Linked DNA regions of Saccharomyces cerevisiae S288C. The gene in region 2 interacts genetically with the main gene of each other region. Each region holds a gene or a part of one and is shown on either strand. Other genes may lie near its edges. The genes, in order: GAS3, ERD2, CHP1 and ALO1.

Region 1 (7,588 bases), on a different chromosome or scaffold from region 2:
AACGTTAGCAGCTTCATTTAATCTCAAAACACCGTTATCGACCAAGATGGCATGGAATCTATCACCGATGGCTTCTGTCATCAATTTGGATGCAACAGTAGAATCAACACCACCGGAAACAGCACCAATGACTTCAGCAGTTGGACCGACCAGTTTTCTGATTCTGTTTATTTCAGTGTCGATAAAGTTTTCCATAGTCCAGTTTTGCTTAGCGTGACACAAATCAACGGCGAAGTTTTTCAAAAGAGTCTTACCTTGGGTAGAATGTGTAACTTCTGGGTGGAATTGAATACCATAGATTGGCTTAGTTTCGTGGACAATACCACAGTATGGGGAGTTATCGGAGGTGGCAATGGTCTTGTAACCAGTTGGCAAGCCGTGCAATTTATCACCGTGAGACATCCAGACAGTAGAGTCGTTCATACCTTTGAATAGAGAGTTGGAATCGTCAATCACCTTCAAAGTGGCAGGACCGTACTCTCTCTTGTCACCACGACCAACTTGTTTACCATTAATCCAAGCCAATTCTTGCATACCGTAACAGATACCCAGGATTGGAACGTTCAAATCAAAGATAGCATGGTCTACGTGTGGAGCGTCTTCAGCGTATACGGAATATGGACCACCAGAAAGAATGACACCCTTTGGAGTCCAGCCCAACTCAGAGATCTTCTGAGTGCATGGCAACATCTCAGCATAGATGTTAAACTCTCTTAATCTTCTGGTAATCAAATGAGAGTATTGAGAACCAAAGTCTAACACTAAGATAGTGTCAAACATGTTAGAAACTTGTTCACCGGCAGCCATTGTGAATATTGATGTCGTTAGTTTATTTTAGAATATAGATATTACCTACCAAATGACCCAGGGAAGTTAAACTACAACGAACGCAAGCTAATTAGAGACTACCGTGACCGAAACTATAACTCAACTAATGTTTTATAACTGTGAAATGAAAATGAAACTGAAAAAATGATAAAAAAAAGAAATATTTTTTCTCGATGCTCATCGCCAAAGAAAAAAAAAATTTTCATTTCCTGCAAGCAAGAAAAAGAAATGACGGCATGAAAAGAGTCAAAATGTCGGGAACCGAAGCCATTGTAGGGGAGCGAGAGGATGAAAGCATATTCCTGTCACCAACGTCACGAAGAAATGAGTCGGCTACTTGACAACCTTGTTTTTTCGCTGTTAAACATAATTAAAGGTTCTATTTGGCAACACCTCATAATTATATCACTATCCACGTGATATTAAATCGTTACGGACGAGCCTATATTATTTCCGGATTTTTTTCTAATTTCTTTTTCTATTTTTCTAAATCTTATCGTCGTTATTTATTTGAAAGAGAATAAACAATGAGTGTGGGCTATGAAAGAGCTATAGAGAAGTCACAGGATATAGAGGGATCTATTTGTAGCTGGCAAGTTAATAGAGATTGGAAAACTGATTCAAAATTGTTAGATCACCTGGCGCTGAGAAATAATTGTGTTTTTTGGTATAAATAGACACCCCCTTTTGAGGTTGAAGAGATAGAGTAAAGAAGAAGTGTAGACATTAATGGGTTCATCAATTAACTATCCTGGGTTTGTGACTAAAAGCGCTCATTTGGCTGACACTAGTACGGATGCGAGCATTTCATGTGAGGAAGCAACAAGCTCGCAGGAAGCGAAGAAGAATTTCTTTCAAAGGGATTATAACATGATGAAGAAGGCGCCTGCTCCAACGAAGTCTAAACTGTCTTTGGCCTTGCAGACTTCCAAGTCATCCTCTAGTGCCAACGGTACTGTACAAGAGGATACTTCCTCGAAGACAGAAGATTTTTCTACAAAGAGCATTAAGAAAAAACCAGATAGCGGCGTTGAATCGCATGTGTCCATCCAATCGGATTCGGGGCCACAATCAGACTCAGATTTGGATTCAGATTCCTCTATCTCATCATGTGACGAAAGGAACGAAGAGTCTTTGAAAGATTACAGGCCGGGTGGGTACCACCCTGCCTTTAAGGGCGAGCCCTATAAGGATGCACGCTACATTTTAGTAAGAAAGCTGGGATGGGGCCACTTCTCCACCGTTTGGTTGGCAAAGGATATGGTAAACAACACTCACGTTGCTATGAAGATTGTTCGGGGCGACAAAGTTTACACAGAAGCTGCTGAAGACGAAATTAAGCTTTTGCAAAGAGTGAATGACGCCGATAATACAAAGGAGGATTCCATGGGGGCTAATCATATTTTGAAATTGCTAGATCATTTCAACCATAAGGGCCCCAATGGCGTCCATGTGGTTATGGTATTTGAAGTCCTCGGCGAGAACTTACTGGCTTTGATAAAGAAGTATGAACATAGGGGCATTCCATTGATTTATGTCAAGCAAATATCGAAGCAGTTACTGCTTGGTCTTGATTACATGCATAGGCGGTGTGGTATTATACACACAGATATTAAACCAGAAAACGTGTTGATGGAGATTGGAGATGTTGAGGGTATCGTTCAAATGGTCGAGGCACTGGATAAACAGAAGAGAGAGGCAAAAAGGTTGCAGAGGCACGTTTCGCGGTCTTCTGATATTACCGCGAACGATAGCAGTGATGAGAAATGGGCAGAATGCCAAACAAGTATGCCCTGCGGCTCAAGCTCAAATTCCAAATCTCGTTCTATAGAGAAGGACTTGTCAAAAAGATGCTTTAGAAGACCTAGACGTCATACAATTATCACAGGGTCGCAACCATTACCTTCCCCAATTAGTTCATCAAATTTCTTTGAAATGAGGGCGCACTTTTGTGGTAGTAGTCACAATAGCTTTTCCTCCGTATCTGGGAATAGGAACATTCCATCTTCCATCAATAATAACAGTATTAATAATGGCATAGGCATTAAGAATAGCAACAATAGTTTCTTAAATTCAGTACCACATTCTGTGACCAGGATGTTCATAAATGAAGACAGTAATGATAACAACAATAATGATAATAGTAAAAATAAAAATAACAACAATAACAACAGTAACAACAATAATAACGAGGACATAATGAACACACCTTTGCATGAAGAGCAGCTGGCAGACTCTTTATCTACATTTGATATTTCCAATATATCACAAAGCTCCGATACAAATGGTCCATATATTTCTAATACTATGGATTCAAATTCAAACGTCAGTACCGATATCAACTCCCCAGAAAATTTGATTCAGATCAAGATTGCTGATTTAGGTAATGCTTGTTGGTATGACGAACATTACACGAATTCTATACAGACAAGAGAATACAGATCACCAGAGGTGTTACTAGGCGCCCCTTGGGGTTGTGGTGCAGATATATGGTCTACTGCTTGTCTAATTTTTGAATTGATTACCGGAGATTTTCTTTTCGAACCGGACGAAGGTCATTCCTACACTAAGGATGATGACCATATTGCACAAATCATCGAGTTATTGGGAGAATTACCATCATACCTTTTGAGGAACGGCAAATATACAAGAACTTTCTTCAATTCAAGAGGGCTTTTAAGAAATATCTCGAAATTGAAATTTTGGCCCTTAGAAGATGTTTTAACTGAAAAATATAAGTTTTCTAAGGACGAAGCCAAGGAAATATCTGATTTTTTGTCGCCTATGTTACAGCTAGACCCAAGGAAAAGAGCTGATGCAGGTGGCTTGGTTAACCATCCATGGCTCAAGGATACCTTGGGTATGGAAGAGATTCGGGTACCTGATAGAGAGTTGTACGGGAGTGGTTCCGATATCCCCGGATGGTTTGAAGAAGTCCGCGATCATAAAAGACATTGATTACCTTTATACCTTTATTTTGCCCTTGCCTTTTACTTTTTTTTCTGTTTAACCTCTTTTTTGCATACTTTAGTTCTCTGCTCAGTTGTTTATTTTTCAGTAGTTTTTTTGCAATTTTTTTTTTTTTTTTTACCAAAGTAAATTTGTAACACCTAGTATAATATTCTGAAGTAACAACAAAAGATTATGCTGATTCTCCTTTCTTTTATCTTTAGCGGTTTTTGAATCCATACTCGACATTTTTTGATTTTATTTTTTGCACCCAATGGTTGTCCTGGTGAAGGATGATGGGTGTGATACCTAAGCGTTTTTGATGAAAAGTTTACTATTTAAAAACATATAAATTGTTTTACATATGTTAAGATAAAAGAACACAAAAAAATAAAACGGTTGAAAACGAAAACAAGTCCATGGATGTTTCAAAAAAATACATGAGCAGCTCAGAGTAGAGCAGAAATCAGACCTGCAAATAATGCAAGGTATCCAGACTGACTAAAGGAAACATTAACAATATTTCCGACGCCTTTACTTTTGGAGCTGCTTGAAGCTGAAGATGAACCGGTGCTTGAAGATGAGCCAGTGCTTGAAGATGGACTGGTGCTTGAAGTTAAGGAGCGAGAAGATGATTGTGATGTGGAAGCTGACTTTGCGACCGTTGTGGCTGTGACGTCTAGTTCGTTCAGTGAGTTAGCTTTGTCGTATGAAATAGTAGCTGAAATGGTATCATCTTTATTGTTTTTAATTGTATAGTTAAAAGTAGTTGGAACAGCATAATCAGTCAATATCTTACCGGTGTTGGTGCCATTAACACCGTATTCAATCATATTGGCAATTTCTGCTGGTTGAGAAGGCAAAGTGAAATTGTTCGTTCCAAAGCCAGAATAAATATTGGTGATGGCACTGTTATCGCACTTGTAGATAGAGTCAGAAGATATTTCGCTTTCTTTTGTTGTTGGCAATGAAACGTTCTTCAATTGTGATTCTAAATTAACAAAATCATCCTTATAAGTTAAAGAACCGCTATCATCAAGCTTAACCAAACCGTAATTATTAGCTTCTTCAGTGTATTCGTATACCAACCCACCAGAGAAGACGTTCTTTAAACCACCATACAAACCCTCAGAGACTTCGTCAAAAGTTCTTGGTGTATTTTTGTTGCAACCATACTCAGAAAATATCAACGGAATAACAGCATCTTCGAAAGTTGAGTTTAACTTGTCATAGCCAGAAGATTCCCAACTAGAAGTGCCAGAGCACCATTCATAAGTATTTAGGCCAAAGAAATCAGATTTAGATATGTCCAAATCATCATTGACTTTGTTTCCATCCAACGAATTACACTGCAAGTACTTGAAGGTTGCTAACCTCAAATCAGTATTGTCAGCAGCAGAATATCCGACTGGGATGCTTCTGTTCGCATGTTTTGAAATATACTGTTTCATATCTCTTTGAACAGCGCGGATGTATGGAGGATCAATTTTTGCATAGTCGCTTTGATCATTTATGACTTCGTTGCCAGAAAAGAATCCTAGCACGTTAGGGTAGTTCTTGAAAGCGTCAATAAATTTGAAGACTCTTGACAAATACAAAGAGTCATATGTTCCAGATGGGTCAGCACGGTTCAAACTCTCCCCGTAATTACCACTATTAACATCCAAAATGGCGTAGATACCAGCATTGTTGAAGATAGTCATGCACTTGTCATGATTTAGGTCAGGGTTCAGGGAGTAAATTCTCACTGTGTTGACACCAAGTTGTTGGAAAGCGTAGGCGTCTCTGGCACACACTTCAGGGTCAGAAAGAATATCTGTATCAGAGTCAGCATCGTAACCAGACGACCCACCAGGCTGATAATCGACACCTTTCACAAAAAAAACTTCGTTATCGGATTCGCTATTTGTGGCAGAGGATGGCTTAATGAACCTATAATTCTTGATATGGATGGGGAGCATGGCATTCACCAGAGATGGTGTAGCAGCTAATGCTGCCAGTAGTATACTTTTAGATAGTTGCATCGCTAGCTAAACGACTTTGAGACCTGTGATCTTTGATCGAACAAAAGCAGGAAAGAGCAAAACACGGAAACAATAGATGTTCTATGTTATATAAGAACAGTATATGTTGTTGTTTATTTTCCTTTGTTTATTTATTTATTTTTCATTTTTTTTTGATAGAAAGCGCGCGAAAAAAATTCTCGAAGATGTCTGAAATTTACTGGTGTCGCTTTTTTCTTGCTTTTATTAGTATTAAAGCCAATGCCTATTACCGGATGCAGAAGACCAGTTGTCTATCTATATATGCATGTGTGCGTACGTAGGATTATCTGTCTACAACTCATCTTTGAGCATATTTTGCCCAGATTTGAAAGTCTTTGGCATGACAACGACGTAGTCTATGTACAAATCACCGTAACCCTTGCTACCCTTGGGCATGCCGAATCCCTTCACGACTTCAACTTCGCCATTGGAGACAACTACATGAGCGGGTCTAGATAACTTAACGGGCTTGTTCTCATCAAGGAATTCTATCGTTCTTTGCCATCCGCCGTATAGCGCTTCCGCAGCAGAAAGAACTTCTGTTCTGTACAGATTGTCGCCTCTTCTTCTGTAACCCATGTTCTCAGTATCCTTTTCCTTGAATTCTATGACCAAGTCACCGGCGTCAAAGTCAGGCCCTTTTTCAGCCTCGCCGACTCTTGTGTCCATGTAGTTTCTTGGTGCGCCTGGTGGAACGTCAACGTGGAAGAACTTGTTCTTTTTGGTAACTTTTTTGCCGTGACATGTTTTGCATTCATTTTTGATAATTTGTCCCGTACCACCACACCTACCACACATCTGTTGAATCTGCTGCGTCATAATACCCATGCGCAGCACTTGTATTATAACCCCACGACCTTGACAATCGGGACATTGGGCCAGCTTACCATCTGCAGAGCCACTACCATGGCATGCATCACATTCATCGTTTAGGTTTAAAGTAAATTCTATCGAGGACCCGGAATAAAACTGCTTTAAAGATAGTTTTTCCTGGACCTTGATCATTGGACCACGCTGCCTCTGTCTCTGGCCAAATCCGCCGCCAGGACCTCCATGACCTCCTTGAAACATCCGTTCGAATATGTCAAACGGATCGTGGAATCCACCTGCGCCAGGGCCTCCTGGACCGCCACCGCCACCGCCATTCTTTACAGCATCTGCACCAAACTGGTCATAAATCTTTTTCTTTTCAGGATCGCTCAATACATCGTATGCCTCGCCGACTTCAATGAATTTTTGATGGGCTTCTTCGCTCCCAGCATTTTTATCCGGATGGTACTTCTTAGACAATTGTCTGTACGCTGATTTGATTTCCTTCTCAGTGGCATCTTTGTCTATCTCTAGTATTGCATAATAATCCTGCGCCAAAATTAGCGGCAACAACAATAAAGATAGTATCAAATGTATATATAATTTTGGAATCATTGTCCTCGATCTTTTCGCCAGCCAATGCACGCTCTTCTGGCCTATCCACCATGTTTTGTCAGTACTACATCTTATTACCATCGCTGGTTTGCCGATGTGGCCAACTTGGCAAGAAAACGTTCTAACTCCGGGTAATGCGTTGTCACAAGTCCTCTATGTCCTAGTTCATAAAAGTTATATTAATGCTATACTAATGCTATATGGAAGAAGAAGAATTTAGCATGGCTTGAAGACGCTTTCTACGACCCTCAAGCGATCGTATCTCTTGTCGGTAGGCGTAGTAATCAGCGTAGTACTTGCGTTGCCCTTCAATCAAAGCGGGCAGGCTGTGATGGCAGAGG
Region 2 (7,738 bases):
ATCCAGAGCACTCATAATAGCTCTAATGACAGACCATGCTAAAACCGTCTTGCTGATTGCGCCACCATTGTCATTTAGGGAACCCAATGCCAAATGACCTTTGGCCTTACAAAGAGTCCAAATCAAAAAACCGAAGGCCGCAAATGGAGTGATGGCGGATTTGAGTGCAAATATATGACGCAATTTGTCAGGTGGAAACCATAGGAACGGTAAACATGCGACCCAGAAGACCATGAAGCACATGAACTCGAAGTTCGTCAAATTGGGGTTCTTTATGGTGTCTTTGATTCTAGTATTCAAATTAGTACCGAAGATAGCCTTTAGCATCAACTGAACACATTGACTACCGATATAAGCCAAAGTAGAATTCCAGACACATGCCATGACGACACGGTTGATGACAATCCAGATGGAGAAGTAGATACCAAATGATACTCTTGAGGAAATGGGGAAAGAGATATGGTAATTGTTCCCCACTTTGGAACCCAGTATCAAGAAAAATGCGACAAACGTGTATCCAACCCAAATACAGATCCAAGTCTGCCACCAGTTAAGCCCTAACTGTAGCCCAGTGGCTGAGATTTGCCATGTATTGACGTTAAAGGACCCAGAAATCCAAAAGAAAATGTACTGCTTCCATGTCCACGTTCTTCTTTTTGCCTCCACGGGCCGCAGATCTGTGTTGTACAAGTACGTCGAACGGAGGGACTCCTGTAAATCTTTAAATGTCCTAATTGGATTTTCGGGCTTATGATCGGCCAAATCGGTAGAGTCATTCTTAACCTCAAAAAACTCGACAACTCTTTGCAGCCAAGACACCTTTTCGTCATCCTGAGCAATGGTTATATTGTTTTCTGAATCGGTATCTTTTTTTTCAATGACATTAGCATCAATCTTAGAAGTAATTTTAGTCGCATCACCCATCTCGGACTCTTTCGTGATTTCTTCGTAATCCTCCGTCGGTATAGTGTCGTCCTTCATTGTTTTTGAAGAATTATCGAATCCAGAATCAGATACCGGCATTTTCTCTTATATAGAATTAATGAATGAGAGGACTAGTTACCGCCTTTTATTTCCGCAATGTGCTGCAAAGTAAAGCAAAGCTGTCCAATACTATGTTTTAAATTTTACAAGAAGGTCGAAGCAATACTACTGTTATATAAAAGATAGGATAGCATGTCATCGAGTAATTGAGCAAGAGAGGAAATGAAAAACTTTTCCGTTGGAGAATTGATCAAAAATTTTCAAAAATACGACATGTCCCTGTGTTGTCCAGGCTGACACAATAGTTTCAGTAGCGAGAACCGCCAAGTTTTATTGCAGCATCCTTTAATGGCAAAGATGGCGCGATAAGGACGAAACCGGCAAATCCCGAGCATCAACCACAGTGAACGCCGCGGAGAAACTCAAAGGCGAAAGGGGAGAAAAAAAGAAATTAATGGCACATACCGCTTTGTGGCATGGCTCAATCACATTTCTTTTTCTTCTTTCTGATCGCCCGCAGGAGAGGCAGCGCCGTTTGTGTCCCATCGCAAGGACAAACTAGCTAGGACATGAGACTTCTAAGCCGTTCAGTCGAAAGAGTTAGGGCATTAGTCTCTAAAGATAAGTGTGGGGGCTTGGTTGAGTCTTGATTTAAAAGCTTGGAGTAGGCATTTTACGATCTATTTTCTCTCGAAATAAAGTAAAGGTATTGCTGCAAAGGAATTGCCGTAATATTTAAAACTTCTTGCTTAAGTGATGTAAAGGCAGTGAGGCGATAGCAATGTTTCGTAGAGCCTGTGACTAGTGAAGCATAGGCAATAAATTGTTTTTTTTTTCTGATTTTGTATTGCCGTCTCTGCGTCGCAGAGATTTGGTGTTCGTACGGAGCGATAATTGTTTTTATCTTTTCCAACTTAAAGGATCGAGGAAACTCAAAGGGTGGCAAAAACAAGCGGTATAATACAAGGTGAACTGAGTTGGAAAGAGAGTAGCCAAGACTATTGAACTATAAAGTTAAACAAAATATGGCCACTATTGCATCAGAATACTCTTCGGAGGCGTCAAATACACCCATTGAACATCAATTCAATCCTTACGGTGATAATGGTGGTACAATCCTGGGCATTGCAGGTGAAGATTTCGCAGTGTTAGCAGGCGATACAAGAAATATCACCGATTACTCAATTAATTCTCGTTATGAACCCAAGGTTTTTGATTGTGGTGATAACATAGTCATGTCGGCGAATGGATTTGCAGCAGACGGCGACGCTTTAGTAAAAAGATTCAAAAATAGTGTAAAATGGTACCATTTCGACCACAACGACAAAAAACTATCTATAAACTCTGCAGCAAGGAACATTCAACATCTTCTGTACGGGAAGAGGTTTTTCCCTTACTACGTTCATACGATCATTGCGGGTCTTGACGAAGATGGTAAGGGCGCTGTCTATTCGTTCGACCCAGTTGGCTCCTACGAAAGAGAACAGTGTAGAGCAGGTGGTGCTGCGGCATCATTGATCATGCCATTTTTGGACAATCAGGTTAATTTCAAAAATCAATATGAGCCAGGTACAAACGGTAAAGTCAAAAAGCCTTTGAAATACTTGTCCGTGGAAGAAGTCATCAAACTGGTGAGAGACTCGTTCACTTCTGCTACAGAAAGACATATACAAGTGGGTGATGGGCTGGAAATCCTTATTGTCACCAAGGATGGTGTAAGGAAAGAATTTTATGAGCTAAAAAGAGATTAATGCATACATATCATAGTATAAAAAGAAATAGACCAATATCAACATCAATTTTATGTATTTTTTTTTTCTTTTGGTATAGCATTGATATATTGAAATTTGTATATATTGCTGCGAACACTATTTAAAACAGGTTTTTTTTTTATTTTGGCAGTTTGAAACCCTTTCCTCTGATGACTTTAGTGTAGTAAATGTAAAAGAAATCAGAGTACAACAGAGTTTGCAAAAGTCCCGCGAAGAAGGCAATCTTGTCCAATTTTTTATCTTCCGTGCTGTACCTCCAAATCCAGTTAGGAATATACAATGCTCTGTATAATCCCATGGCAAAAATATAATGAACAGTTAGACTTCTAGTCTTCCCACCCTTAGATAGCATGTACAATTGAGGTAGAATAGCCACACTCTCCAACCATACAGAAAAACTCCATGCTAATTCAAGAAAAGTGAACTTGTGATGGAAAAAAACACTCATTAGAGCACTCCCAATTAGTAAATGCTGGATCTTAAAGGTATCATGCATAAGCATTTCATTATACGCAATGGTGTTGGTTCTTTTAGACCCTTGTAATAGCACTACAATGTAAGCGGTAGATACAATGAAAAATATTTTCATTAGAGCATTGTATAGGGATACCCAGTGAAAAGTCAAGAGATCCAAGTATCGTGTTATGAAAACCAAAGCGTACAACGTTTGGGTCTTGAAAGAAATACCTTCAATGTACCTTGTGGTCTTGATATTATGAATCAGGATCAGTATACTGGTTAGATGTGATAAATCACCTGTCTTGATGGTCGGGAAAAAGCCCTTTCTCTGTTAGTAAGATTGGGTTCGATCTACGGCGGGAAAAGCCTCATGAAACTCCAAATAGTAACATACCTAAGATTCTAAACGGATTCATTGCTTACTGATTATGCCTCAACTTGCGCGTATATCTCACTCTTGAACAAGTGCCCTCAGCAAATTCATCTGCCTCGAAATTTGAACTTATTTTTAACGTGTTCAATATTTAGCTAAAACGTCGTTTTCAGTCCGGGTACCGCAGATAAGCCATCCCGGATCTTTAAAGGAAAACGAGGAATTCAGTGGTGCAGACTACACTTTAATCTCAATTGACCAAAGTGAGTCCTCAAGTAAGACGAATATTATTTTTCTTTCACGACTCAATTGAATTCCTAATAACACTTTTGTTTGCTGTATTAGCTTTTAGCTTTGAGAGCGATGAAGCAAGAGAGAAAAATAAGGGTAGAAAAAAAAATTAGAAATTGAGGAGGGGAAGGTATTCTAACCTGGTGAATTCCCAGATACATAAGTATAAGAATTTCTCGGCAGAGATTATATACAATAAAGAATAAGGTTCAGTTGGACGATTGCGATAGTAGCGTGAATAACAATTTACTTTAATCAATCGTTAGGATACTTCTAATGGGCTTTTTTAACAATAATCCGGTAATTGAATTCTTCCACAGAATAACGAGAAAACCCAGTACCATTGCGATGTGGGTGTTTGCTGGTCTGATTTGTTCAAGTACATTTTATTTAATGTTCATGTCATCACCTACAATCGACTTCAACTCGAAGAGTAAGAAAAAAAATGATAAATAATCTCCCTGTTCAGTACTTTGGTAAAAGCACGCCATGGAAAATTATTTAGAACTTCCTTATACAAAACTAAATATTTGAGCATATTCTATATTCATACATAGATACATTCTTTGAATTTCAAGACTCTTATTTCTCATTTTGAAAGCCAAGATTGGAGGAAAAATCGTAAATTTTTATCCAGTCAGTAACAACTGTTGGCCAGTCGAAAACTCTATCGAAACAGCTTCTATATGTCAGATAAGATAGATTTATTAAATTAAATATATTCAGGAGAGGAAAGACAACATGAACGAAAAAAAAAAAACAGTGTAGAGAAGCACTACAAATATTTTCTCTTCCAAAAAATATAATATACATAAAAAAATTAGAAATTTATCTTTGTTAATGCAGTAGACTTTTAATTCTAAAATTTTGATTTAAAAGTTGAATTTGTTTTCGCCGGCCTCAAGATCGTACTTACCTTCAATGACATCTTGAAGGATACCAGCGGAAGCAGCAACTAAACCCAAAAATGGTTTGGATGGATCTAAGACCTTTGATGTGTATTCTGGGTGATATTGAGTAGCAATATAGTATGGGTGATTCTTTAATTCCAAAATCTCACAACGCTTTCCAGTGTCGTCCTTACCTACAAAGATCAACCCGTTGTTTTCCAATTCATCAACCATCTTTGGATTGATTTCGTAACGGTGACGGTGTCTTTCATGGACTTCGGAGACGTCACCGTATAACTTCTTGATTTGACTCCATTCAGTTTCATTTTGGAAAAATGTTGGTCTCAAACCTAATCTCATTGAGCCCCCCATGGTTTCCTTGTCAATTTCAGGCATGAAAACGACAACGTGATTTTTTTCATCAATGTCTGGATAAAATTCTGCCGAATGACTGTCTTTTCTTCCCAACACACTACGTGTAAATTCAATGGTGGCAATTTGTAAACCCAGGCAAACCCCTAAGAATGGAATGTGATTTTCACGAGCCCATCTAGCAGCCAAAACCATACCTTCAGTACCTCTAACACCAAAACCACCGGGGATTAAGATACCGTCTGCGGTACTGACCATGTTCCATGCTTCATGAAATTTAGTTTTGTTGCTTTCTTGTGCTTCAGGTTCCAAATCAGTAGCTTCCACCCATTTAATGTCTAACTTACGACGACACTTCATGGATGAATGTTCCAATGCTTTTATCACTGATAGATAAGAATCTTTCAAGTTGGTGTATTTCCCAACCAAAGCAATCTTCACTGTTTCCATGGATTCATCGAAGTTACCTGTTGTGGCCTTCCATTTAGACAATAATTCCAGGCCTCTTTGTTTTTCTTCTTCTGTAAGTGATATTTCATCTAACTTTAATCTGGCGTGTAAGTAATCAATCATCTTTTGTTCCAGTAGCAACAATGGGACGTGATAAGTAGAATTAACATCGTGAACGTTAACCACCTGTTCAGGCCCCACATGACAAAACATGGCAATCTTATCGATTGTTGGTTTATCCAAAGTTTCACTACATCTACAGGCGATCATATCTGGAACTAAACCAAGAGACCTCAAACCTTTGATGGCAGCTTGAGTTGGCTTAGTTTTTTGTTCACCGTGGATGACAGGAACTAGAGAAACGTGTATCAAGGCAAAATTTTCCTTTCCAACTTTAAATTGGAATTGTCTTAGTGCCTCCACAAAAGGAGCACTTTCAATGTCACCAACTGTCCCACCCAATTCAATGATACAAACATCTGGTTCCATACCGGTGTCATCTACAGGAATTTTGGCCACGCGCTCAATCCAATCTTGGATAGCGTTGGTCAAATGAGGGACAATTTGCACGGTTTTGCCTAAATAGTCACCTTTTCTTTCCTTAGCAATAACGTGCGAGTATATTTTACCAGTAGTAATGTTATGATCTTTAGTCAAAGTAACTCCAAGGTATCTCTCGTAGTTACCCAAGTCCAAATCTGTTTCACCACCGTCGTCAAGCACGAAACATTCACCATGTTCCAAAGGAGACATAGTACCTGCATCAATGTTCATATAAGGGTCAATTTTAATTGACGTAACCTTTAAACCGAGGGTTTTCATTAGCATACCAGTTGAAGATGCAAGAACACCTTTACCGATACCCGAAATGACACCACCTGAAACAACAACGTACTTCATTTTCTGTCTATAAGTTTCTTTTGTTCTATTGACCAATTCACTGAGAAACTGCCTGAAACTTTTTCGACCTTAGAATGGCAGAAAAATGGCAAATACTGTAAAATACTTAACATTTAACTAAATTTTATTCTATGCTTTTCCTCTCGATGAGATGAGCTGTGAAAAATTTTGAAAAAAAAAAAAAAAAAAAAAAAAAAAAAAATTTGTTATCACCAATAACGAGAAACCTAACTCTAAAACTTAGGGTCAAAGAACAGAACCCTAGGCTTTGTATCCAGTTGAATCACTAATTACGAAAGAATGCTGGTGGAAATAATAATATCATATTGGTGCTCAAATAACAAGAAGACTTCTTTGGAAGAAATTATTACCAATTAACAGTCCACTTGTAGAGCGTACATATTGCCGGGAAGTTGATTACCTTTCACCAGAGGTACAGAGGAATAGAATTTTGCAACATGTTCCCCTATTTAACAAGAATGAATTTATCCATAAAGATGGGAGGGCTAACTTTAAAAGAAAGTTCCCCCAATGCTTTTTTAAATAACACCACTATTGCTAGGAGATTCAAGCATGAATATGCCCCACGTTTCAAAATCGTACAGAAAAAGCAAAAAGGTAGAGTGCCAGTTCGTACAGGTGGTTCAATAAAGGGATCCACTTTGCAATTTGGTAAGTACGGATTACGACTGAAAAGCGAAGGTATTAGGATATCCGCGCAACAGCTGAAGGAAGCAGATAACGCAATTATGAGATATGTCAGGCCTTTAAACAATGGTCATTTGTGGAGGCGTTTGTGTACAAACGTTGCTGTATGTATCAAGGGTAACGAAACAAGAATGGGTAAAGGTAAAGGTGGGTTTGACCACTGGATGGTGAGGGTACCCACAGGGAAGATCCTTTTCGAAATAAATGGTGATGATTTGCATGAAAAAGTCGCACGGGAAGCCTTCAGAAAAGCAGGCACCAAGTTACCTGGGGTATATGAATTTGTATCCTTGGATTCTCTGGTTAGAGTTGGATTACATAGTTTCAAAAATCCTAAAGACGACCCAGTGAAGAATTTTTACGATGAAAATGCAAAGAAGCCATCAAAGAAGTATTTGAATATTTTAAAGTCTCAAGAACCACAGTACAAACTCTTCAGAGGACGTTGAACGGATTGAACACACCATGTATACATGTATATAACTATTGAAAAATATCGATATTCACAATCAAGTAATCTAGCCATGGCTATGAGTTTA
Region 3 (7,544 bases), on a different chromosome or scaffold from region 2:
CGCCAGCAGCCACAGTCTAATCTAGGCGGTAACACGCAGTTTGGCGGTAACGACTTCCAGCAACAAACTACTGACTACACTGCCGGCACTGGTGGTGGCACTTATACCCAAACTTACCGCGAAACTAACACTCAAGGTCAGTTGGACGACGATGAAGACGATGACTTCTTGACTTCGGGCCAACAGCAAAAACAAGGTCGTACAAGAGGTGCTCAAAGTAACCGCTACCAATCCTCTAATATCGGCAGCGGTAGACGCGATCTGTCTGGGTCAGGAAACGATGAATATGATGATGATAGTGGGAACCAAGGCGTCTGGTAGATGCGGTGGTCGAAGCTTCTATTACATGCCTGAGGTGCGGGTCTCACCCTTGAGCAGCAAGTGAGAAATTTTACCCTAATTTCGTCTTCTTTTTTCTTTTTTCTTCATCTGGACCTATTATTGGTCATGATGCCACTTTTTACAAACTATTTCATATGTTTAATCTAGTTTATTTAGATCTACAGCTGTCAGTTTATACGTTTTTATTAATGTCAGTTTGATTTGATTAGTAGTGACCTTTTTCGTCGAGGTATGCCGTTTCACGGACCTCCAGATCCAGGTGTATAACAATAGAATTATGGGAAAACGGGGTGGGAAGGTCGTTGTCTAACTCAAACCTCCTGGAATTAGCGGGTAAAGTGTCGTTATTGTGCTGGGCAACAACTTTTTTTTACGATTTCTTTTTACCTCTCATCTAGGTTAGTGTTAGTTGTAAAAACCCGAGCAGATTGGTGCCTTTTCAAGTGCGTTCTTACAACCATACTTTTTTATTCTAGAACGTGTAAGCAATTACTTTCTCAAAAAAGCAAACGCAATAAAGATATGCTACGGATAAGTATTGACTCTATCAAGCAATTCGGTTCCTTTGTGCCAGGTTATAACAACACTAGTTACCATGCTGCCGGGAGGGCCATAAGAACATCAAGCCTGTACAGTACAATGATCTCAGCCAACCCGAGAAGGTGCCTGCATTCTTCGAAACTGCTAAATAAAGAAGGTCAAGAAGAGGGCTATAATGAACAGCTCATTTCAAAAATGTCTTCACAGAATGGATCGAATTCCAGACAGAATGAAAGTGAAGGAAAGAAGGAAGGCAAGGCTTCCTCTGTGAAGTCGTTGTTGCAACATACTCATAGTCACAGCCACACACATATGCATGACAATCCTTTATTGTCACTGAACGTACAGCAGATCAAGAAGAATCCTGGCGTAAGAATAACATGGATAGGACTTGCATCAAATGTGGGGATGGCAGTAGGAAAATTTGTAGGAGGAATCACTTTTCATTCTCAAGCATTACTTGCTGATTCCGTACATGCTCTTAGCGATTTGGTATCTGATTTTTTAACACTGTTTTCTGTCCAATATGCGTCTCGTAAACCAACTTCGGAGTACCCATATGGCTATGGTAAAGTGGAAACTGTGGGATCTTTGGCAGTATCCACAATCTTAGCAATGGCTGGTATATCTATCGGTTGGTCGTCGTTATGCGCTATTGTGGGGCCTGTCATTCCTCATGCCATTCTAGAATCGATGGCCGGTTTAATTGGTGAAACGCATTCCCATTCTCAGTCGCTAACACAACAGGCAACTAATGTAAATGCTGTATGGATAGCAGCGGGTTCTATCTTGGTTAAAGAATGGGTTTTTCAGGCAACAAAGAAAGTTGCAATCCAAACAAATTCTAATGTACTAATGGCAAACGCCTGGCATCATCGTGTTGACTCCTTGACATCGTTGGTAGCGTTGGTCGCTATCACATCTAGTTATTTTTTCAACATTCAATCCTTAGATAATTTAGGTGGGCTTGTAGTGTCAGGTTTGATCATAAAAACAGGTGGACAAGGTATCTTATCCTCACTGAAGGAGTTAGTTGACCAATCTATACCACCTACTGATCCGCGTTATCTAGAAATCGAATCTGTCATAAAAGACAGCATTGGCAGTTTGAAAACAGACTTAGATCTCAAACAGTCGTTACATGTTAGAGACCTTACTATATTAGCTTCCGGTCCTAATCTTCGTGCCACCACAACTTTGGAAGTGCCAGTATTACATTCAGGTCAGGAAGTTGGGATAAGATTTTTGGAAAACGCTATTTCGACTATAAGAGAGGATTTACGTATGAAGGTGCCAAACGTGGGGAAGGTGGACGTCGAGTTTGTTGATGTAACCTCTGACTCTAAAGGTGATTTGGAGCACTCTCATGACACTAAATCAACAAATCATACTCATACTCATTCTGATTCTGCCGATACTCACACCCATAAACATTAGGGAATTCTCAATGATGAATTTTTTCAAAAGTTAAGAGCAAAAGTACAGCCTTTCACATTTCAACAATTTACTGAGCTTAATATATATATGTATATATATATATGTTGAACAAGGAAGAATGCCTTGTGTTGTTCCTTTGTATAAAGTAATGTATTCTATATAATCAATCACAAATATATATGCATGTTCATTTCTGACCGACAATCCAATCGTTCAAGCCGTGTTTATTTCTAGCAATTTCAAAAGCGTAAAATTGTAGTCTCACGACAAAACAAGTAGTAAATTGACCATACTCGGCTGAAGCGTCTGTCCTCAACAAAGTACCAAAGTTATAGTCTTCGATTTTTTTCTCAAAAATTGTGAAGAACTTTCTCCATCTTTCCTTGGCTTCTTTTGTTTTTAATTCTTCCTCCGTAAACTTTTTGACCCTTTCAACATCTTTGTATTCTGGGAATCTCTCCATAAAATTCTCGTATATTTCGTCATCAAACTTAGTCAAACGTAACTTGGAACCGGGAACACTTGTTAATAGTTTCCAATATGTTTCCGCTTGTTCAACAGCAACAACAGCGAATTGTTTCTCGATATCTTCCAAGTTATCAGCGGTTTCTGCATTAAAAGTAGACATTGTTATATGATTGTTTCGTCGTGGTTCTTCTAGTCCATCTAACCAGATGTAGCTTTAACGGGTGAAAATTATCATTACTTCTGCTAGTCGAAGAATTTATGGATGTTCATCACTCCCTAGTACAACCTCTTACCCGGACAATTTCTTCAACAATGTTCATTCATCTTTAGTTTAATGAGGGATTTATAAGGTGAAAGCCAGTAGTAAAAGTGTATTTAACCCCTTTAAATTATCGCAAACTGTGCCTAGCAGTTCAGGAGTTATTTTTGGTATACTTTTGGAGCACGATTCATAACCTCATGTAAGAAATAATAATCAATCTTCGTGTATTTTTAAAATAATAATCCTTAACAACGACCTCTTACATAAATTTGTAGTTCAACATCGACAATTGTTAGCATCAAAAAGGATCCCTTAAGTTTAAGTTTACATAATTAATCTGCGTACCGTACATATATGAAAAGAACCAATATTAACTACTCTGTATGAAAAATGAATTAACCTAGAAAACAAAAAAGGAAGGAGAGCGTCATATGCTTGTCCTAAATTCTATCAACGTAGTAAACTCCATTTGAGGAGTGAATTAAAGAAAAAAGATGGAGTGAAACAAACGAAGTTAGCGAAGATAAAACACTAGCCAGTAGGCTTTCAATCTTCTTCATCGTCAGTATCAACTGGTTTTGGTGTACCTTTTGGCGATGACAACCACTCAATGTAACGTAGACGACGACGTTCGGCTTGCAGCTTCTTTTCATTTCTTGTCAATCTCTTCTTTCTTTGCTTGACCTTGATGTTAGCTGGAGAATCATCGTCATCTACAGATGGCTTGGCCAAGTTGGAGGCCTTTAGACCAACGGCATCAGCATTACCACCATCTTCGAATTTGGATTGGTCAACTTGTGCAGAGCCCTTTTGAACCATTTTACCGTTCTCCACAATCCATTGTTCAGGACATAAAGCACCAACAAATTCGTTATTATGCGAAATCATAACGACACCACCACTCCAGTCACGAATAGCAACGGCCAAAGCACCAAGAGAGTCTCTGTCCAAATAGTTGGTAGGTTCATCCAAAACAAGTAAATGAGGGTTGTTCCACATAGCACCGGCAATAACGACTTTAACTAATTGACCACCAGATAAAGAACCTAATGGAGTATGGTTAGCAATTTCAGAATCAAGACCAACGTCTTCAAAATGTTTGGTGATAACTGAAGGAATTAATTCACGGTAACCCAACCCTTCTCTGGAGGCTTCGTGATCGTCGAATTTTTGAACCAATTTTTCAAAGCCATGCTCGACCAAAACATCTTTTGGAACCCAGGAGTTGTATTTTGGTTTCCAGTATTTCCATTTGACCTCATATTGGAAAGATTTTTTCAACTTTTGTCTACCTACAATAGCTTCAATGGCTCTCTTACCTCTACCGTCATCAATGTCGATTTCCTTTGTCATCATTTCCTTTTCATCTTCGGATATTTTTCTGGATTCCTTCAATAAGACTTCACGGTCGTCACCGAATTGATAACGCCATTGCAAATATTGGTTTGCCGTCTTTTCCTTATGTTCATTGACGTGTTGCAATGCATGCTGAGCAATATAACCAATACGTAAATTTGGATGTTTTTCCACTTTACCTTCATTTGGAACCAATTCACCAGTTAATAGCTTGATCAAAGTGGATTTACCAGCACCGTTAGGACCTAAACAAGCCACACGAGAAGACAGAGACAATGAACAGGAGACATGGCTTAAGGAAGGCTTTTGGGCACCTGGATAAGAGAAAGTTACATCAGTCATTTTAGCGACGGCTCTAGTGTTAGACTTAACACCTGTTAAAATACCTGGGGGTGGGAAACGCATTTGAGCATTAGAATCTGTTAAGGTATAGTAAGATTTAGCTTCAGGTTTCTGCTCAACAAATGCTGCCAAGTTACCTTTGTAGTAAGCCAATTTCTTGTTTTCATAATGGATGATGTCAGTACAGACTGTATCTAAGAAACCAGAGTCATGCGAAACAATCAATGAAGTAATATCAGTATGTTCCAGTAAGTATTCTTCTAACCATTTAACGTTCGAAACATCTAAATGATTGGTAGGTTCATCCAGCAATAAAATATCAGCTTTTTGTAACATAGCTCTTGCCAATTCCAACTTCATTTTCCAACCACCAGATAAAGATCCAACAGTTTGTGCTCTTCTCTCTTCATCAAAACCGACAGATTCTAAAGCGGCTGCAATTTCCTCACGAGAAGTAGATTGCAGTTCTTCATCTAAAGCAATGAAGGAAACCAAGTCTAAATCACCTTCTTCACCTTGCAATTTATGTTCGACGAAACAGGTGCGTAATGTATCCTTGTCAGGAAAACCATCCAATTGACCATTAGCAATTGCTCTCATTAAAGTAGACTTACCAGCACCATTTCTACCACACAAACCGTAACGATGACCCTTTAGGAGACGAAGATTTGTTTTGTTCAAAAGCATTCTTGAACCATAAGCTAAGGAGAAATCAGTGTTGACAATCTCAATACCTTCGTCCTCATCTGCCCTTTCCTTTTCTTGGTAGAATAAAGCTCTCAAGTTATGGATAAAGTCTTGTTTGACAAATTCTCTTTGTGAATCTGAACCACCAAAAACGGCGGTCAAAAAATCTTCAAGTCTTTTCCAGTCGTTCACATTAGAATCCACGGTCAAAATCTTGCTCATATACTTGATAACAGTTTCGTCATTCATGTAAGGCTTGACAAAACAGGAATCATCAGCTTTAATGTCCTTGAGGTGATCAAGTAAGAAATCCCTACCTTCTTCTAAAGTCAGTCTGCCTGAGAATTTGTTTTCCTTATCAGCTTCGTCATCTTCTTTTAGAACGTTAAGGGCCTTTTCAGCCAATTCACGAACTTCAGGTAAGGACGCAGTATCAACAACCTTTTGGATACCGGGTAGTAGTAGAGGGATGAAGCTTTCAATTTCATTACGATTATTCACCAATCTTGTCAAATTCTCCACGACAATAACGGTTTGTCTTAATTGCTCTTGAGATGATGACGATAGGTTTAAAGATCTGTTTAGAATAGGAACTAACAAAGATAGTGAAGGTTCCGTAACTTCAGCGACAAATGTAACACTGGATAACGATTTTACAGATTCAGGAACCTTAGATGGATCTTGCAGGGTGTCCACGATCAATTTATAACGAGGAGACAAATCTAAGTTATCCAAAATAGAAACGTAGTCCAATAAAGTTTTGTAACCTTGTTTGGCCAATTCAGGTTTGAAATCAGTTGCTACATCGGTTAAAACTGGAACTGCATCTTTGAAAGTAAGTTCCAATAAATCGTTCGCCGAATCTTCTCTTATTCTATCTACAACGCTTAGAGCGGCCATTTTAGCTTGCCATTTGGCACCAGATGATAAGTAATCCAAAATCGTAGGCAGTACAAAACAGGTTAAAGCCTCCATTGGAAAGCAATTCAACAAAGAATCAATGGCATGTTGCGCGGCACGTTTGACTGTATTCTCTTTATCTGAAATACAGTCAAGTGCGACATTGAAGAATGGTAGCAAGTATGCTTCCTGTGGTGGCTTTCCACTGAAAAATTGAGCAATGTTGGAAATTATTAGCATGGCAGATTCTCTAACTAATGATGGATTCTTAGGTTTGATGAATTTAGATAGAACATCGACGATTTTCCACTCTTCAATTTTCTCACCCGTACTGTTACCTTCTTTGCCAAATTCTTCAATGATTAGTTTGATTTGATTTTTGCAATCAGTGATACTTTGACATTCAGGTATCTTTGACAAAAATTGAGAGATGGGTGTTAACTCTAAGTTCGACAGCTTTTCATTCAAAGAGGTCAAAGATGTAGTAGAAGCAGATGGAGTTGGAGTTCCACTTTGGTTGGGCGTCACAGCCGATTGTTTGTAAGTAGATTTTTGATAGCCCTGGCCATTGTATTTATTATAGTTATTGTAGTTGTTATAATTGTTGTAGTTGTTGTAGTTGTTGTAATTGTTGTAATTACTGTTATACGATTGGTAACCACCTTGTTGGTAGTTGCCCCCCTGTTTCCAATTACGCTGTTGTTGGTAGCTACTTTTTTTGGAAGCGTTATTACTACCGGCATCAGCAGCAGGGTTTTTAAAATAACCACCGAAGGGAGAAGCGACTAGATTTGGGTCCTTTGGTTGGTCGTCAAGGAAAGAGTTTAGATCCTTAAACTTCTTTGGAGGCATCCTGAGTTGAATTAGCACTGATTGTCGTTGTATTTACAGTTTACAAGATATAAATTATGCACTATAGATCGACGCATATGTATTATCTTAAATAGGTTGCAATATATTATTATTTTTTAACATTTATTGCGATGCTGCTGAAAATTTTTTTTCCACCTTGAAACTTTTCTTTTTCCATTGAAAAATTAGATGTGGTGTTTGGGTTTATTCCATTTGATCTTGTAACTTCTATACTAGTCACAACTAACAAGTCCAAAGTCAAGTGTACATAGTTATCCTATTTTCACCGTTATCACTTCAGTACCTTTTAATTTATATATATTAATGCACATGGCTCTGTTGTATCTTTCGAAGCAGT
Region 4 (8,979 bases), on a different chromosome or scaffold from region 2:
AGACTTTAAACACCCTAAAACTTTGGGGTCTTTCTCCACATACGAAATTACAGATTTCCATGTCGGGAAACATACAGATACCGCATGTTGAGTGTCCAGTGGTATAGGCTGTCCTAGCTCGGTAGCCACTTGCGCTGAAACCATATTATAATGTCCTATAGAAGAAGAAAATGTCAGGAAAACTTCGCCTATAGCCCTTACTCTCTGCGTGGCCCTGCTATACTTCTTTCACTATTGAGAGGCAATTTTTTCATCAAATTTTCATTGCGAATTTTCCAGACGGCATCGCACAGGTAGTCGGGTAACACGAAGATGTGGTTTTTCAACTTGGTAAGGACTGCTATTAAAGAGGTCAGTCGATACAACGAGAGAAACTTAAACTTACACGTCTATCCTTGGCGTCCATGTTGAGCATGGTATTATCTTCACCTGCTGCCTGTCTTTAAATCGAGGGTATCCGCACCGCAGTTCGTGACCTGTGCCTGCGTTATGCGAGAGCAAAAGGGCCCTTAACGAGCCGGCACCTAAACGAAAATTTCAAGGGTTTTTTTGGCGGTGCCTAATAAGGAACGCGCAGAACAATAGACCCTGCCGGTAAACGATGGCCTTGCAGTCGTATACTGTTAAAACTGTTGAGTGGGTGAATGGCAGGGCCTAACTGCTTGCCTAGGAGTACCGCAGGAACGGTACGAATCGAGTGGAGACAGCAAACCTTGACGTGTGCTTGCTTTTAAACGGGTCGGAGAATTTACTCTTGAGCATATACGTGTGGGCATATGCATACAAATATATAAATACATTCGGGTGTATACGTAAATATATAAATATATAAAGTAACATATGTATATAAAGACGAAAGATTGAACGCCATCGTGGAGAGGGTTTTCGTATGAAGGTGCCTTAAGTCTTGTGTAGAAGTAGTTCTTTAGTTAAGATAGAACCTGGTAAAGACTCAATGGACTATTTACATGTATATAACAACAACCAGGCGCACGTTCCCAGAACACCTCCAGGCAGGCAGTGCCTATCGCCCGTTCTGCCCCCAATCATATTGGCGTTAGATCAACAACATTCGCTGACATTTGGGTACTCCAGCCCCAGGTGCTTGCCAACACCCATATTGCCTTCTATGAGCACAAATACGCCCGTCCATTGGTCACAACAGGTTGTCACTATCCCTGTCGCTGTACGAAATCATGCCGCAATGATGCCTATTATCACACCTATGACCTCCCCAAGACCTCAGTTTGAAGCAACGGCTCCCTCACCCCCTTTGGCCCCGGTCGCCATAAAGCTGCCAGATTTGAAACTACCACCGTCGCCTGTGCCCAGCACAGTAGAGGACAGAGTTTCACATCCTATCCTGCCCAAAATTGTGATCGGGAATGGCGGCGGCCGTGATGTTGAGCGAGATAGTACCGAGGAATTAATTAGGAAGATTCCAAACTACATTGGTTGTGCAAAAACAAAGGCACAATTGAGCAAAGTTAGGTCTGGTAAACAACTAATTGCATGCGCACAGGAATATCACCATCCAGTAAACAAGGACGAGATCGAAAATATCAACAACATTCTAAACTTCAGGGACTTTATTTTCAAGCATCCAAAATCCTCCTTCGAGTTCCTATGTACCCTGTCGTTTGAGCAGTTCGTTAGAGTATATTCATTCATTAGTTTCATCTACAGGACAAAGAAAATCAATAAGAACAAGTACGAACTCGTTTGTGAGATGAATGTTCACGAGCAACTCAGCAATAAGCGTATACAAAGAACAAGGACTCCTGAAAAGTACAAAATACATTTGATCTGCGAGTCAAAACTCATACTGACCTTCAACCACTGTACGAAGACAGTAAAATTTGAGTCTATCAATGGCGGGCACTGCCATCCGATTTCAGCCAACCACATTATCAAGCCCTCCCTCTTCCTTACCCACTGCATTAATAAATGCTACCAGACCGTGTCAGACCCTACCGATTTGAAATTGGCATTGAGAGACGCCTTAGAAGCCCTTGATCATGAAAGGATAGGATTGTCTTTCTTAAAGAGGAGACATTTCAAGTGCTCACACCAAGCATCATCACTCTCGAATGCCAGCGCCACATTGAAGAAACAAGAAGATCATGACACATTTGGTGTACATACAGGAATAATTCATACGGCAAATTTCTTCATGTTTAATGCATCTAGCGATATATTCCAGAGGAACTAACATATATAAATATCTGTATCCTTCTTTAAGAAAACACAATTGCATACTTTTTCCATTATAACTGACTGTTTCAGATCCTGCAATAGAAAGTATTTTTTAAGTAATGAAATAGTGCTTCCATTGATAGTAAGTGAGTAATAAGACGATCGGAAACTATTAATATAAGTATAGTTTACATATATATATATATATATGTGCCAGACGATAATATCACCGTAGTTTCCGGCCGGGTTATGCCACGCGAAAACGCCTCGAGCCAAGGGAAAAACTAAACTACAAAACAAAACAAAACAAAACAAAAACATCTACTATATCGTTTTACCCAATTCAGTATATCCGTCTACAACAGTTCTCGCCACCCAAGATCTGTAAACTTACAACTGCAAACAAACAATGAGAGAAGTTATTAGTATTAATGGTATGTTCGATTTGCCCGTCCAGGCTAGATCTTTTTTTTGTTAGTTCATTTTGGCGTTTCATCTTTCATTACTAACTTCAACGCAAAATTTTTTTTTTTTTGATTTCTCTTTACAGTCGGTCAAGCTGGTTGTCAGATTGGTAATGCCTGTTGGGAATTATATTCCCTTGAGCACGGTATTAAGCCGGATGGACATCTAGAAGATGGCCTTTCAAAGCCGAAGGGAGGAGAAGAGGGTTTCTCCACGTTTTTCCATGAAACCGGCTACGGTAAGTTCGTTCCAAGGGCTATTTACGTGGATTTAGAGCCCAACGTTATTGACGAAGTCCGTAACGGTCCTTACAAGGACTTGTTCCATCCAGAACAGTTGATCAGTGGTAAGGAGGACGCGGCTAATAATTATGCAAGAGGCCATTACACCGTTGGTAGAGAAATTTTGGGCGATGTTCTGGATAGGATTAGAAAACTGGCAGACCAATGTGATGGGTTACAAGGGTTCTTGTTTACCCATTCTCTTGGTGGTGGTACTGGTTCCGGTCTAGGGTCCTTACTGTTGGAAGAACTATCCGCTGAATACGGTAAGAAATCCAAGCTGGAATTTGCCGTATACCCTGCTCCACAAGTGTCTACTTCTGTGGTTGAGCCTTACAACACAGTTTTAACTACACATACTACATTGGAACATGCAGATTGTACTTTCATGGTCGATAATGAGGCTATTTACGACATGTGCAAAAGAAACTTGGATATCCCAAGACCAAGCTTTGCAAACTTAAACAACCTAATTGCTCAAGTGGTATCATCTGTTACAGCATCATTGAGATTCGACGGTTCATTAAATGTAGATTTGAACGAATTTCAAACCAATTTGGTTCCATATCCAAGAATTCATTTCCCCTTAGTTTCATATTCTCCAGTCTTATCCAAATCAAAGGCATTCCATGAGTCCAACTCTGTGTCAGAAATTACAAACGCTTGTTTTGAACCTGGTAACCAGATGGTCAAGTGTGATCCAAGAGATGGTAAATACATGGCTACTTGTCTGTTATACAGGGGTGATGTGGTAACAAGAGATGTTCAAAGAGCTGTCGAGCAGGTGAAAAACAAGAAGACCGTCCAATTGGTTGATTGGTGTCCAACTGGTTTCAAGATCGGTATTTGCTACGAACCTCCAACTGCCACACCAAACTCACAATTGGCCACTGTGGATAGGGCCGTCTGTATGTTGTCAAATACCACATCCATTGCTGAGGCTTGGAAGAGAATCGATAGAAAATTCGATTTAATGTATGCCAAACGTGCTTTCGTCCACTGGTATGTCGGTGAAGGTATGGAAGAAGGTGAATTCACCGAAGCTAGAGAAGATTTGGCTGCTTTAGAAAGAGATTACATCGAAGTGGGTGCCGACTCATACGCTGAGGAAGAGGAATTTTAAGGTTCACTCTCGCCCCCAACCTCCTTATCCTTTCTATATTTCAAGTATATTGTAAAAAAAAAAATTCCCCCTACTGTTATATCTCTTTGGTGATATCTTATCTATAATCTACTTATTATATTTCTCTAATATCTATGTACAAAAAATAAAAAAAAAAACCATTCTCCTTCTCTAACCTGCATTTGATGAAAGCTTAGTAAGTCTCATCGTAGTTGATGGGCCAAAGACATTTGTACTTGTTTCATCAGATTCTTACATCACCCATTTCCATGATTATTTCACGGATTTCATTAGTAATTGCATTTTTGTATCCCTAGTTCCTTTTCTCCCGCCTTGCCGTCGAATTGAAAAAAAAAATGGAAATGAGGACATCTTCCATTGATATCCAGGACAAAGCAAGAGTAGAAGTAACTATTAGCAAGGAGAATTCCAAAAATAGTGAACTTCAAGGTAAGCAGATCTATAGTTTCAATATCTGATTTTCTGCTTTTCAAAACTTAAAATTCATTAGAAGGTAAAACAAGAACCCGTAAAATTAAAGTTACCGATATTATCAGGTTTTTCACCCCATGTCTACTATCCCATTTAGAAAGAACTATGTGTTCAAAAACTGGGCCGGAATTTATTCTGCAAAACCAGAACGTTACTTCCAACCAAGTTCAATTGATGAGGTTGTCGAGTTAGTAAAGAGTGCCAGGCTAGCTGAAAAAAGCTTAGTTACTGTTGGTTCGGGCCATTCTCCTAGTAACATGTGCGTTACTGATGAATGGCTTGTTAACTTAGACAGATTGGACAAAGTACAAAAGTTTGTTGAATATCCTGAGTTACATTATGCCGATGTCACAGTTGATGCCGGTATGAGGCTTTACCAATTGAATGAATTTTTGGGTGCGAAAGGTTACTCTATCCAAAATTTAGGCTCTATCTCAGAACAAAGTGTTGCTGGCATAATCTCTACTGGTAGTCATGGTTCCTCACCTTATCACGGTTTGATTTCTTCTCAATACGTAAACTTGACTATTGTTAATGGTAAGGGCGAATTGAAGTTCTTGGATGCTGAAAACGATCCAGAAGTCTTTAAAGCTGCTTTACTTTCAGTTGGAAAAATTGGTATCATTGTCTCTGCTACTATCAGGGTTGTTCCCGGCTTCAATATTAAATCCACTCAAGAAGTGATTACTTTTGAAAACCTTTTGAAGCAATGGGATACCCTATGGACTTCATCTGAATTTATCAGAGTTTGGTGGTACCCTTATACTAGAAAATGTGTTCTATGGAGGGGTAACAAAACTACAGATGCCCAAAATGGTCCAGCCAAGTCATGGTGGGGTACCAAGCTGGGTAGATTTTTCTACGAAACTCTATTATGGATCTCTACCAAAATCTATGCGCCATTAACCCCATTTGTGGAAAAGTTCGTTTTCAACAGGCAATACGGGAAATTGGAGAAGAGCTCTACTGGTGATGTTAATGTTACCGATTCTATCAGCGGATTTAATATGGACTGTTTGTTTTCACAATTTGTTGATGAATGGGGGTGCCCTATGGATAATGGTTTGGAAGTCTTACGTTCATTGGATCATTCTATTGCGCAGGCTGCCATAAACAAAGAATTTTATGTCCACGTGCCTATGGAAGTCCGTTGCTCAAATACTACATTACCTTCTGAACCCTTGGATACTAGCAAGAGAACAAACACCAGTCCCGGTCCCGTTTATGGCAATGTGTGCCGCCCATTCCTGGATAACACACCATCCCATTGCAGATTTGCTCCGTTGGAAAATGTTACCAACAGTCAGTTGACGTTGTACATAAATGCTACCATTTATAGGCCGTTTGGCTGTAATACTCCAATTCATAAATGGTTTACCCTTTTTGAAAATACTATGATGGTAGCGGGAGGTAAGCCACATTGGGCCAAGAACTTCCTAGGCTCAACCACTCTAGCTGCTGGACCAGTGAAAAAGGATACTGATTACGATGACTTTGAAATGAGGGGGATGGCATTGAAGGTTGAAGAATGGTATGGCGAGGATTTGAAAAAGTTCCGGAAAATAAGAAAGGAGCAAGATCCCGATAATGTATTCTTGGCAAACAAACAGTGGGCTATCATAAATGGTATTATAGATCCTAGTGAGTTGTCCGACTAGTCTCTTTTTGTCTCAATAATCTCTATATTTTACTAAAAAAGAATATATATATATATATATATAGCAGTGTGATGACTGTTCATGTACATTCTAATAACTATTCCTAGCTGCCTATCAAAGACTTTTTTTTTGAATTAGAGCTTTTTAGTAATCATGGGACCCTTTTTTCTTTTCATTATCCTTACTATAGTTTTTTTTTTTTGGAAAAGCCGAACGCGGTAATGATTGGTCGTATAAGCAAAAACGAAACATCGGCATGGCGTAACGTAGATCCATCTACAGGGAAGTTTTTAGAAATCAGATAGAAATGTATTTTGAGTGCTGTATATATTGCAGTACTTTTTTTCTCTCTAGGATTTAAGTATGTTTAGTATTAACTCATATCACATTTTTTCTTTGTAAAAAGCAACCATTCGCAACAATGTCGATAGTAGAGACATGCATATCTTTTGTTTCGACAAATCCGTTTTATCCATTTTGTACTGGATTGCTTCTGAATTGTGTGGTTACACCTCTTTACTTTTGGAAAACGCAAAATGGTAGAATCGTGGTCGTTTCATTGCTGCAATTCGTAGTACTTTATGCCACAGCGTTTATTTCGATTGGAACTGATAAATCTCTTTACAGAAATAAATGGGTCGCGCTACCGCTATCCAAGAAGACCCGCATTTCTCGTAATACTAGTCTGTACTGCTTCAAGTTAAAGTACCCATTTGAAAGATTGCATATTCCCATGGGATACCACCTGGCAGTAAGGGTTACAATAAATGGTGAGCGATTAGTGAGGTACTATACGCCAGTAAATGTTCCTAATACGGAGGGTCACTTGGAATTAGTAGTCAAGACGTATAAACATGGTGTCGTTTCTAAGTATTTTGATAAATTAAAAATTCGCCAGTATGTTGAATTTAAAGGGCCGTTAGGTGAGCTGGAATATGATCAGGACACCGCAACAGAGTTGGGTATAATCGCAGGGGGGTCTGGTATAACCCCTGTATTGCAAGTGCTGCAAGAAATCATACCCTCTCCAGAAGACCTAACACACATTTCTTTGATATACGCAAACGAAACAGAGGATGACATTCTCATGAAATCGCAACTAGACCACATGGCTAAGGAGTACCCGCATTTTAAAGTTCATTATGTAATTCATAAGCCAAACGGTAAATGGAACGGTGATGTTGGGTACGTAACTCTAGAGGAAATGAAAAGATACCTACCTAAACAAGCGGAGGACCATCGTTTATTGATTTGCGGACCACCTAAAATGAATGAAATGGTTTTGAATTATGCAAAGGAGTTGGGGTGGAGTAATGGGTTTCACAAAGGTAATGGAACCGATAAAGTTTTTGTTTTTTAATCAACTGTTTACGATTGATGATTTTTCATGTAAATAAGCATTAATTATATTTAGATATATATTCGTATTTTATTAATAATTAGGAGGAATAAAGTCCGACATTTTTTTCAAAAAAAAAAAAATAATATTTCACAACGAAAAATCTATAAATAAAATATTTAACATATGCTCTTCCAAATGTACATACTTTCAATTGATTTCACTCAATGACAACGCAATGGCCAATTGTAAGTCTTCATCAACATTATTACTAGCATCAACGCCAACAGAACTACCGATAGTGTTCTCAGTTGAGGTTCGTTCGGATGACTCTGCTGCACCATATGTAGCAAAATTATCGTCGCTCAAGGGCCCATTTCGTCGACCTGTAGTATGATTTCTAAGATGTCTTCTCCTTTCGTCCTCCACTCTTGATTGTCTGATGGCTCTGAGAAACTCTTCATCATCTTCATCTATCTCATCATTCGTATTATTACCATGATTCGCAGAGCTATTCGTTTGCGTCTCATATATCAGTTGAGATTCCTCCAGCGCCCTTCTTAACTGCTCATCTTCATCATCTCCGACAGGCTCCCCCGCTTCAGCTTGATTCCGTGCTTGCGCCTCCTGTGATTCTAAGAGTGCAATTCTCAACTGAATGTCGTTTTCTTCATCGGTGTCGCCTGAAAGTTCAAGGTCTCCACCATACGCATCGATCAATCTTGATATTTCTGACTGTCTTTTTCTTCTAAGGTCTTCATCTTCATCATAATATTGCAGCTCCGTGTTCAAAGTTTCATTCCACTTATTGCTTACTGTGTTTTTACCTTTAGTGGAATGGTGATGTTTCTTTGAATCACTTGAAACAAACTTTAAATAATTCAAAACGTTACCGCTTCCCATAATGATTTTATCCTGCGATACCTTCAAAAATTCGGGAAACTTCTCGGTTTTCAACACTGTCTTTATTAACTCGCCTGTCATCGCGTTCAATATTTGAAGAACATTTGGCAATGCTACCACAACTATTAAATTTGTCACCTGCGATACGTATACCTGCTCATCAAAACTTATCTTACATTGAACTTTTAAGCCTGACGAAGAAAGATCTCTTATATTGATAATGTATAAAGTGTTCTGTGTCGTCAAAAGACTGATATAGCAGCCGTCATCACCAGCAAATTGCCAGTTTTGTTCCCTTTGAGAAGTTTTTTCATCTATTTCAACTGCGCATATTTGTTCAGGCATCTCCAACTTTCTCAAATTGCCGAAGTTACCATTGGGATTGACCGATATTGTATAAACGTTATTCAGGTCAGCAAGTACCAAAGTCATGGAACCGAAATCCATCTTGAAAAACCGTACCCTCATAGGCTGTTCGTCCAGATCCTTAGGAATATCAATACTGTGCAATTCCTGCATTTG

The links.
Region 1: mutations in ERD2 (region 2) and GAS3 together harm fitness less than expected from each alone (positive genetic interaction), as found in Saccharomyces cerevisiae (one large-scale study listed by BioGRID).
Region 3: mutations in ERD2 (region 2) and CHP1 together harm fitness more than expected from each alone (negative genetic interaction), as found in Saccharomyces cerevisiae (one large-scale study listed by BioGRID).
Region 4: mutations in ERD2 (region 2) and ALO1 together harm fitness less than expected from each alone (positive genetic interaction), as found in Saccharomyces cerevisiae (one large-scale study listed by BioGRID).

What each region holds. Positions count from the first base shown.
Region 1 is NC_001145.3:695,009-702,596, reverse strand, and holds GAS3 (putative 1,3-beta-glucanosyltransferase), read right to left. Parts: upstream 5,802-7,588; coding exon 4,227-5,801; downstream 1-4,226. Other genes in the region: GUA1 (GMP synthase (glutamine-hydrolyzing)), read right to left, coding at 1-807; serine/threonine protein kinase SKY1, read left to right, coding at 1,558-3,786; SCJ1 (Scj1p), read right to left, coding at 6,114-7,247; CEF1 (Cef1p), read right to left, coding at 7,444-7,588. UniProt on the Saccharomyces cerevisiae protein: Splits internally a 1,3-beta-glucan molecule and transfers the newly generated reducing end (the donor) to the non-reducing end of another 1,3-beta-glucan molecule (the acceptor) forming a 1,3-beta linkage, resulting in the elongation of 1,3-beta-glucan chains in the cell wall.
Region 2 is NC_001134.8:139,238-146,975, forward strand, and holds ERD2 (Erd2p), read right to left. Parts: upstream 3,632-7,738; coding exon 3,610-3,631; intron 3,513-3,609; coding exon 2,875-3,512; downstream 1-2,874. Other genes in the region: FUI1 (uridine permease), read right to left, coding at 1-1,023; PRE7 (proteasome core particle subunit beta 6), read left to right, coding at 2,010-2,735; MIN6 (Min6p), read left to right, coding at 4,156-4,335; CTP synthase URA7, read right to left, coding at 4,752-6,491; mitochondrial 54S ribosomal protein uL16m MRPL16, read left to right, coding at 6,950-7,648. UniProt on the Saccharomyces cerevisiae protein: Required for the retention of luminal endoplasmic reticulum proteins. Determines the specificity of the luminal ER protein retention system. Also required for normal vesicular traffic through the Golgi.
Region 3 is NC_001148.4:121,409-128,952, reverse strand, and holds CHP1 (ribosome-associated Tef1p biogenesis chaperone CHP1), read right to left. Parts: upstream 2,948-7,544; coding exon 2,507-2,947; downstream 1-2,506. Other genes in the region: GRE1 (Gre1p), read left to right, coding at 1-321; MMT2 (Mmt2p), read left to right, coding at 865-2,319; NEW1 (New1p), read right to left, coding at 3,596-7,186.
Region 4 is NC_001145.3:93,027-102,005, reverse strand, and holds ALO1 (D-arabinono-1,4-lactone oxidase), read left to right. Parts: upstream 1-4,634; coding exon 4,635-6,215; downstream 6,216-8,979. Other genes in the region: YML082W (putative cystathionine gamma-synthase), read right to left, coding at 1-144; YML083C (uncharacterized protein), read left to right, coding at 956-2,212; alpha-tubulin TUB1, read left to right, coding at 2,606-2,630, 2,747-4,065; AIM33 (cytochrome-b5 reductase), read left to right, coding at 6,637-7,575; SCF ubiquitin ligase complex subunit UFO1, read right to left, coding at 7,765-8,979. UniProt on the Saccharomyces cerevisiae protein: Can oxidize L-gulono-1,4-lactone as well as D-arabinono-1,4-lactone and L-galactono-1,4-lactone.